2 linked regions of the Zea mays genome follow. The protein of the gene in region 2 binds, or shares a complex with, the protein of the main gene of each other region. Links are inferred from orthologs where the notes say so. Each region holds a gene or a part of one and is shown on either strand. Other genes may lie near its edges. The genes, in order: Thioredoxin-like fold domain-containing protein MRL7 homolog, chloroplastic; protein PLASTID TRANSCRIPTIONALLY ACTIVE 12, chloroplastic.

Evidence for each region.
Region 1: protein PLASTID TRANSCRIPTIONALLY ACTIVE 12, chloroplastic (region 2) and Thioredoxin-like fold domain-containing protein MRL7 homolog, chloroplastic share a complex: the UniProt entries of both Arabidopsis thaliana proteins name them as parts of the transcriptionally active chromosome (TAC) complex. The link is inferred for Zea mays from reciprocal best matches to the Arabidopsis thaliana genes PTAC12 and MRL7.

Annotation. Positions count from the first base shown.
Region 1 is NC_050098.1:188,497,992-188,502,213, forward strand, and holds the start of Thioredoxin-like fold domain-containing protein MRL7 homolog, chloroplastic, read right to left. Parts: upstream 2,801-4,222; 5' UTR 2,757-2,800; coding exon 2,071-2,756; intron 1,776-2,070; coding exon 1,691-1,775; intron 1,605-1,690; coding exon 1,493-1,604; intron 1-1,492. UniProt on the Arabidopsis thaliana protein: Plays an essential role in early steps of chloroplast development. Involved in the regulation of plastid gene expression. May positively regulate plastid-encoded RNA polymerase (PEP) activity through binding to FSD3 and CITRX/TRXZ.
Region 2 is NC_050098.1:198,689,988-198,694,713, reverse strand, and holds the start of protein PLASTID TRANSCRIPTIONALLY ACTIVE 12, chloroplastic, read left to right. Parts: upstream 1-1,624; 5' UTR 1,625-1,816; coding exon 1,817-1,853; intron 1,854-1,948; coding exon 1,949-2,016; intron 2,017-2,111; coding exon 2,112-2,777; intron 2,778-3,363; coding exon 3,364-3,476; intron 3,477-3,836; coding exon 3,837-4,099; intron 4,100-4,638; coding exon 4,639-4,726. UniProt on the Arabidopsis thaliana protein: Involved in plastid gene expression. Acidic transcriptional coactivator necessary for the transactivation of many PIFs target genes (class B genes), particularly during the regulation of hypocotyl growth.

The sequences.
Region 1 (4,222 bases), about 10 Mb from region 2:
TGAGGTTAAAAAAAGTCACTCGCTGGTTCCCCTAGTTGTGTGCACACAAGATGGACTGGCCTATAGAGGGATCCTTATGTAGGGGTTGGGAGAGCTCAAAGCACGAGTAAAGATCTGGCCTATAGGGGGCGGACCCTCATGCTGCATGGGGAGCTAGCTTTCGTGACTTTCCTCGATCGTGCTTCGATTAAGCTTCTTAATATAATACCGTGAGGTGGTCTTTCCTTGCCGGCTGAGTTTTTTTAACCTGCCTGGGCCTAGAAGCCAGAACCAAACACGCCCAAAGTTTCACTGCAGTTACACAGGATTGAAGGGCCTTCAGAATTGTCCTTTTGTCCTTGAATTTCCTCTCTTTTTGTAGGCTGTAGTTGCTTCAGCCCTATGATTCCTGTAATTGTGCTTTTCTTTTCTTCAATTGTGTAACAGCCTCCCTCCCTCTCTCAGATAAAACTGGCAATGCTATTCTACACCTAGTAGCTAAAACTGACCATGAAATACTGAATACGAATGAACCACATCCAGTACCAACCAGTAGTACGCGTCAGTACCACGAAATACTGAATACTACTGACACACGACTATTGAGTGTATACATAACAATGTGTGCTTGTGTGTGCTTACAGCAGTAGGAATTTCCTCTACTGTTTTTCCGTTTAAGGGCTAGTTTGGGAACCACATTTTCCTAAGGGATTTCTATTTTTCCAAGAGAAATTAGTTCATTTTCCCTTGGGAAAATAGGAATCCTTTAGGGCTAGTTTGGAAACACCATTTTCCCAAGGGATTTCTATTTTCCCAAAGGAAAATGAACTAATTTCCCTTGGGAAAATGAAAATACCATGGGAAAATAGGGTTTCCAAACTAGCCCTTAGTAAAATGGAATTTCCCGTGATCAGAACTGCAGGGTGCTGTCGCTGGTGCATTGAGCTGGGGCTGGAACAGAATTGGATGCAGTAGCGGACCCAGAACTGAAATAGAGCCCGGACGAGACTTAAGACATCACTCAGATCAAATGATTCAAAGCTTCCGATTAAGGTGCTGCGATGAATAGCTAATTGTGCGCTGGCACCAAAGTCTGGCCAGGCGCCTAGGGTCGCTGGACCCTGGGTCCGCCACTGACTGTATGGACGTTTTAGCATGGAAACAAAACCTTCAGATTGAGAAAAATGGAGGATGAACTCCAACGGGAATCCTGTCAGGAGCTCATCTTATGGGCCGCATGGGCGTATAAATTGAGCTGGAAATACGTCCTTTGCTCTATTGTGGAGAGGCTCAACTAATAGATCCCCTTTTCTCTCCAATCTTCTAATGGGAGTTTCCTCTTCCTCTCAAATGTCACAATGATAAGTAGGTCTCACCTCTACTTACCTATTTTGTTTCTCAATTAATTTCCCGCAAGAAAAAAGGTAACCCTCACTATTTTTTTTATAGAATTCTCACAAGGACAATTTGAACCATATAGGGGTGGCTAGGTTGGGGTGTTAGTTTGACATACCTTTTTCTCTATATAAGATCTTGTTTCCCCTAAGGAACAATAATTGTGGACATTCTCTTGCTTGAAGTGCATATGCCAAATCCCTCTCAATATTTATATCAACTTTGACTGTCTATTAAACAAAACAAAACAAAACTTAGGACCTGCACAAAGACCAGTAACCCAGCCAAATAATCAAAAGATGCTATTCAAACTTACCCGAGGAGGTAAGCGATCTTTAGCATTCCAGTACACCTTAGCAGCCTTTTCCAATTCTTGAAGAAACTTCCAATTGTCAGCAGCCCTGCAAATCACAACATCATGCAGGGTTCAATACTACACAATCAAAGCCTCCTGTAAATAAACTAATAAACTTCACCCTAAACAAAGCAATTCCAGAAACTGAAGCCTGTTTTGCCGTTTATCTGTCAGTACCAGGACAGTTCTGAAGTTTCTAGTTTCGTTTGATTCACACTTTACGGACATCCGCATTACACAATGCAAAGCTTAAAATGGTGATTGGGTTACACACAGCCCATTCCAAACATAATGCCAACAGTTTACAAATCAAAACTAGACAGGGAATGGATGGTCCTTACCTGTTGTACCGCTCGAAGACTAGGACGACTAAGGGGCTGGGGTGGAATGCGAAGCTCTCCCACTCCAAGCAATTGATTTCCTTGACCCACCCCTCGTCGACGTCCCCTTCCCAATCGATCTCCACCCCGTCCACTGTGACATTTCTGATCGAGTGCTTGTCGAAGTACTCTGAGGCCCGGATCCCCCATCCGACATCGGCATCCAGCGGCCAGCTCGGGTCCTCCTCTTCCACCACGGGCTTCTGTTCTCCTCCTTCTCCCTCTCCCTCGTCGTCTGGTAATCGCTCCACATCGGCCTTCGGCTTCAGGATGTCGCCTTTGCCCTCGAGGACGTCGGGGTTGCGCTCCTGGATGGAGGCAAAGACCTGCTCAAGGCGGTTGCGGACGAAGTCCTCCACGGCCGCCGACTCGCTGCGGCGCCCACGGCGTGGCTTCCGGGGCTTGGTTGTGGGGAACCCTGCCTCGGTGGATCCATCCGGGTTCCGGTTGCGGGCCTCATGTGTGGGCTTTGGTGGTTCCGGGTTCGACGTCGGCTTCGGAGGCCGTGAAGACGAAGAAGACGGCGGAGGAGCGGATGAGACAAAGATGAGCTTGCGGCGGCGGCGGCCATGGCTGCAGCCGACACGGTTCAAGCTGATGGCGGGGGTTGAGGGTTTAAGGGCGGTGAGGGTGGGGAGACGGAGCATCGTGCGCGGCGAGAATGGGCGCGAGTATGCGGCTGGGTTTCGCCGGTCGGCAGGTGCGCCCGTGCTATCCGAATGGCGGTTTCTCGTCCGCCGTTGCCCGTTGGTCTCGTGATCTTCTCAAATCCAACGGCACTGACGCTTCCAGCCTCGTGAATGATTCGTGAAAGCATGACGAGTGTGAGGAACTGCCAAAATTAGAGCAAATGGAGTATCTTAATCCCTTTGGATCTCTCAAACCAAAAGAAGAGAGAAACTTATCTCTATAACATCAGTAAATGATAATTGTGTATGTGTCATATTTCAATAGTTAGTTTAGTCTAGAAAACATTATAAATTTAGACGAATGTGAAGAACTACGCATATATTGCTCAACCGTCCCAAACTCTAATAAACGAGAAGAGTCGTGACGTCAAACCTACCTATTCTAATAAGGATGGAACCCAAAAAATTCTATTGGAACTTAACCCTCTCGAACATTGTAATTTTTGGTTTTATAAACAACAAAGTACACCAATTAACTATGGAGCTATCCAAATAACTATTTCCATCAGTTGTGCTTCTGAAACCTTGAAATAATGTATCACATATTCACTGAATGTACACTTACTGTCAAAATGAGTTTGGAAAGATACAGTCTAACAGAAGAAAGTTGCACCCCTCATTGTGGGCTACCTAAGACGACATAAAGACTATTTTGTGCACCTTAGATGCTAATGCCATTTTCTATGGTCAGTTTCATAGGGGCTTCGTTCTTATTAATGGTGTGCCATGTCAGCAGTTTAGATGATGTGGCAAGCAATTAATAAACAAAGAGATGAAATGATTTTCATGGAGATGAAACCATGTATACATTATTACCTAGACATATTGTCTTTTACATGTTAACTATGAAACCGTGCTGAATGAAACTCTTCACTATGAGAGATTGTTTCAATAAATATCTCATTTCTTTCTTAATTATGAAATCTACCACTGTAAATGCCCCTAAGGAACAACATCAGCCAAGCAAGGAACACTAGCACGGGTAGTGGTGAGAATGAGAATTTGGCTAGAGAGAAACATAAGAGGTTTTAATTGAAAAAAAAACACAAAAGAAAACAGATCATCGACAATAAGGGTGAAAACGGTCGGAAACGATCGGTAAACACAAAAACCATTTTCGTTTTCATATTTTTCCTCGGAAACGAGATCGAAAACGGTAACTCCGGAACCGAAAACGATATCGGTAATTCGAAAACATCGAAAACGAAAGTTCGGTACAAAAATTACACCGGTTACGATCGAAATCTAAAAATTCGATCGGTAAAAATTGTAACTTGTACCCTCAATTGACTTCAAAAATTCACGTAAGTCATACATTTATATAAAATTAATAATAATATATAAGGTAGCAGGCCACAATAAATATATAAAATAAGAAATCATAAAACAATAAAATCATTATTATATATTTAAATAAAGTAGAA
Region 2 (4,726 bases):
TATGAAAAACATGTAAATGTCCATAATTTAGGGAGGAAGTAAAGTGAAGATGACATATGACATGTACAGTTCGATTCATAAACCAAACAGACACATGAAAACAATAAATTTGTCAATAGCACTTATATATTTGTTGGCAGGTACATGTTATTGTACATAAAGCATGAACATTATAAACACAATTAAACGTAAGGGAAGTGTATGGCACAGAACTAGAAAGGAAAGTAGTACATGCAGATAGAAATGATACAACTATTGTCATGATAGATACACATTTTGAAGTCTTGAACATTACATAAGTTTGTGGGTCAAACACATGTTCAGGCAGACACATGATCAGGCAGATAATCATAGTCAAAAGTAAATGAACATGTCATGAATTGTAGTGAACAACTCATGAACATACGTGTATTCCATGCAAGCACAATGAATTATGACATAATCAGGGTGTCAGTGGAATGCCATATATGGGTGAAGACTAAAATGCTACGAAAGGGTAACATTCCCCAGAAACGCCACAAATACAATTTGTTCACTTAATAAACATCTGCTTCAGTGGAATGAACATCACTGGGGAAATAGATTTGCTGTCATGGCTAATGTTAGGCTACGAGTTTGAAAACCTTGGTTCCATTGGCAAGTACGGGTGAACTGATAAATTGTAGGGGCCGTCTGCATCTCCTAGAAACATGACGCCCAAAGAAGGGTTCAAAGTGGTTCCGAATGCGCACGACTACTTAGTGTTGGTGTGTATTCCCATGTCGTGGTACAGACAAAGTTTGTTCCACCAGGGGGCTAAATCGGAGGATGAACAACGTAACAAGTTCACAGCTCAAACTACAAGTGTGGATCTGCTAAACTCATATGGGCTGGCCAAAATAAACTAGGATTTTTGAACAAAACCAGTGCTGATCTAAATATTTCCTGAATGAAGTATTCATTTGACGGGGTACAAGATGGTATACCTCAAGAAGGGAGGATCTCGCCCGCAAGACGGCGAATCGAAGCAAAATACGAGTGCTGTTCTAAATCAATCGTGAAATAAGTATTGATTTGACGAGGTTGAAGAAGGTAATACCTTAAGAAGGGGAGATCTCGGCCGCAACACGCCGAATCGAAGCGTCTCCGTGTGGATCTGATGGCGCCGTCGATGGTCGGAGACGGAAGCCAACGAATCGGTCGCGACGTACCTCGCCGGAAGCGGATTGGACTCCTCTTCGTCTTCGGTCGCGAACGGCACTGCGTGGTCACGAAGTCGAGGTCCTCTTCTGTGCAACCGAGGGGGGCCGGGGCCGACTCCACCGGCCGACGGGAGATCCGCCGCCGCGTCGCCGCGCTAAATCGCTCTTCCGCGGAGGGGTCGAGGCGAAGCGAGGTGGACCGAGAAGTTTCCGTAGTCTGGCGCGGCCGGCTCCGTCCGCGTGAAGGAGGCGAGGGGGCGGTTATAGTCATCCCCTGCATCTGGCATGAGAGAGAAGAGTGCGGCGAGGTAGGGGAGAGAGTGGCGCTCGCCGCTGCGGGAGGTAGGAGAGTACTGTAGCCACTATAGAATGAACAGTAATAGGGTAGGAGATGTGTAGAGTGAAGCGACAGTCTTATAGCCCGCTATTACACTTCTCTAAAGTCGAAAGACAACCTCCTTCCACGTGAGCGCTTTCTTCCTTCAGCCTTCTCGTTATCCTGAACGCGGCAATCTCCGAAGGTCCCATCCAAAACCTCGCCGCCGGATTCGCACCTCACTCTCGCCCGCGCACTACGAATTGACTGACGCCTACGCCCTACCGCTGCAAGCAGCACCATAGCGGGAGCCGCTACCATGGCGTCCTGCTACAACCCGTGGCGCCTATTCCCAGGTAACCTCCAGCTTGGACCCCATTTCATCGTTCGTTATTCCCTGCGCACAGTTCGTCTCGTCAGATATCACAGCCACTCTGTTGAAACTGTTCAGGCATGTCGACGGCGGTCCCTGCCGGGCCCGTCACGGCGCCGGCTCATTCTCGCACCTGCAAGTCCTCGGTAAGTGCCTAAACGCCTCGTACAGTTTATAACTTTGGTTCCTAGTTCCAGTTCGGTTTACGCGCCTGACTGGAGGTCGTTCGGTGCGTGCACAGAAAGTGTTCAGTGCTTTGCCTCACCGGAGGGGTCTGCTGTTCCTGGGCACGCGGCGTGCCAGGATCAAGTGCGTCAAGGACGACTCTCTCCATTTCGACCCGTCGAAGATAGAACCGCCACCGTACTCCAGCTACTTCGACTCCACATCCGGTCAGCTCGAGCCGGCGTCGGGCGCTCGGGCAAGCATACCCGGGAAGGAGTACTGGCCAGAGGGCACGGCGGCCCGCGTCCGTGCCGCGCGAGCGCCTGCTCCGGTTGGGGAGTCAGCTGGGATGCCATCATTTGGCACGAAGCCCGGGAGCAGGAGGAGAGGGTATAAGGAGCAGGTGACGTCGGCGTCAGGAACGGAGGGTGCACAGACTGATGACAGAAAGGATGGTGATGAACCTGATGTGGCTATTATAGGCTCTGGGGACGATGCATTGGAGGAGATAAAGGATTCGGTGGATGAGTATGTCATTTATGAGACACCAGAGGAAGAGGAGCTGAGTGAGTATGACATGGACAAAATGATGGGGCGGCCACACCCGTTCATTGATCCAGCAAAGGCAATGTCACTAGGGGAGCCGAAAACCAGTGAAGAGCTCTGGTGGCACTGGAGGAGGAAGTCTCAGGAGGAGGAAATGTGGTCAAGATGGCAGAGGAGGCGTCCAGATGTTGACACGGTTAGTTCCTCACTTGATTGAACCTAGCAAGTGGTAGGTAGTGATGTTTCCTTATATTGGGGCTGTTCACCAATTCCGGACATTGAAAGGTACTGCAACAAAAGGCCATAAATGTATGATTTTGAGTATTGCTATGGTACTCGCTAGTATTTCTATGCCTCATTTATAGTTCATATAGTATAAATGTTGCACGTACGGAACAATTTCCATGTGATCTTCCAGTGTCATTTTGTTTGTTTTATCCGTCCAAAAGTAGCTAGCCAAGTATATGGTATTTGTGTTGCTAATTACTGTCAAGTGTTAGCGACCATGGTGTCAATTATTTTATGGTTCTCCAGTTATTCTGTTTGTACTGTGAACGTGAGAAGAGTGTCAGTCTCACAGATGTAAAGGTGAGGTTTGTGCTTATGGGTTATGGCGTTGACGTCTGTGCATGTATATCGATGTGCAGGTTTGTCTGTTCATATCGCTTGATATGGTTGAGGCTTTGTGATTTTATTTTTTACGTTGACTGGTGTTTCAACTAACTTATATTCCGTGACGGCGATCCACATTATAAATTGTAATGTATGCTGTATCATTTTAGGTTTTTGCAAAGGCAATGGCGGAGACTGGGCAAATTAAAATTTTTGGGGACCATCCTTCACGGACAGAAGCTGCTCTTGCAAAGACAAGAAGACATTTGTACAAAGAGGAAAGGTTGACTTACATCCACAGAATACTAGAATTATTATACCATATATTTTTGCAGTACATCTTTACCGAATGATTTTATTGAATATCTGTGCACACATTGTTTCTACTAATTGCCTTACATCATTTGAGTTGGTAGTACCACCACTCGTGCATGGTCTCATCACATAATCTTTCGTAAACCTATTTAACTGCTCTTGGATTTACACCTTCTCCAAGTTATGCCACATATTACAAATATGTGGCGGTCTCATCATATATTCTTAAATACTGCATCAGAAAGATGTCGAGGATCAATTTTTTTAATTGACACAAGTTTATCTTGCCCATTTATACTCTTACATTTAATATACAATATAAAAACAGGTTAGAAGCAGAGCAAAGGAGACTAGAAGAAATAGGGCCAATAGCGTACTACTCAGAATGGGTTGAAGCTTATAAAAACAAGGATACATCACGTGAGGCCATACAGAAGCACTTTGAGGAAACTGGCGAAGATGAGAATGTTCAACTTATAAAAATGTTTCAACACCAAACTGCTGGGGAATATCGTATCATGATGGGCACCGATGTGCGTATTCAGCGAGATCCTTTGGCCATGAGAATGCGGGAAGACCAGATCAAACAGAGTATTTCTTTGCTAAAAAATCTTCTTCTTTTGCATGTCTTGTCTTTAAAGTCTATTTTTTTTGTTGCTGCTGCATAATCATGTGTTATTCGTCTTACATTAGCTTCTTTGTTCTATTCCTCCACAGAGATGCTCTATTCTAGTCTGGTACAACGTCGACTGGAAATAACTAGGAACAATTACATAATATTATTAGAAGCTAAATATAAAAAAACTGTTTTCATACACCTTGGAGTCGTGTCTGTGTTGCAGAACCTTCTGGGTGATTTATATAATCCCATCCACTGATTTGAGTGTGCATTTCTTGAACTAATATGCTCCTGTTTCTTATATATAACAGCAGACCATTTGGGTGGCTTGAGTTAGTAAAAATGTTGTTCAAAATCAGTGTCTTCTTCATAATTGAATGCCACCTTAAAGTTACTCTACTCTTGCAAATTGGAAGAACATATTTTTTGAATAGGAAGGTTTACTTCATACACTTTAATTGTATTGGGGAATATCCTGATCAGGACATAATATCTATTTTTTAATGTGTAGTTTGGGGCGGTGATCCTGTCTATCCAACAATTAATTATGTTCAGGATCCTGATGAAGTGATTGACTACAGAGGTCCTGAATTTCATGA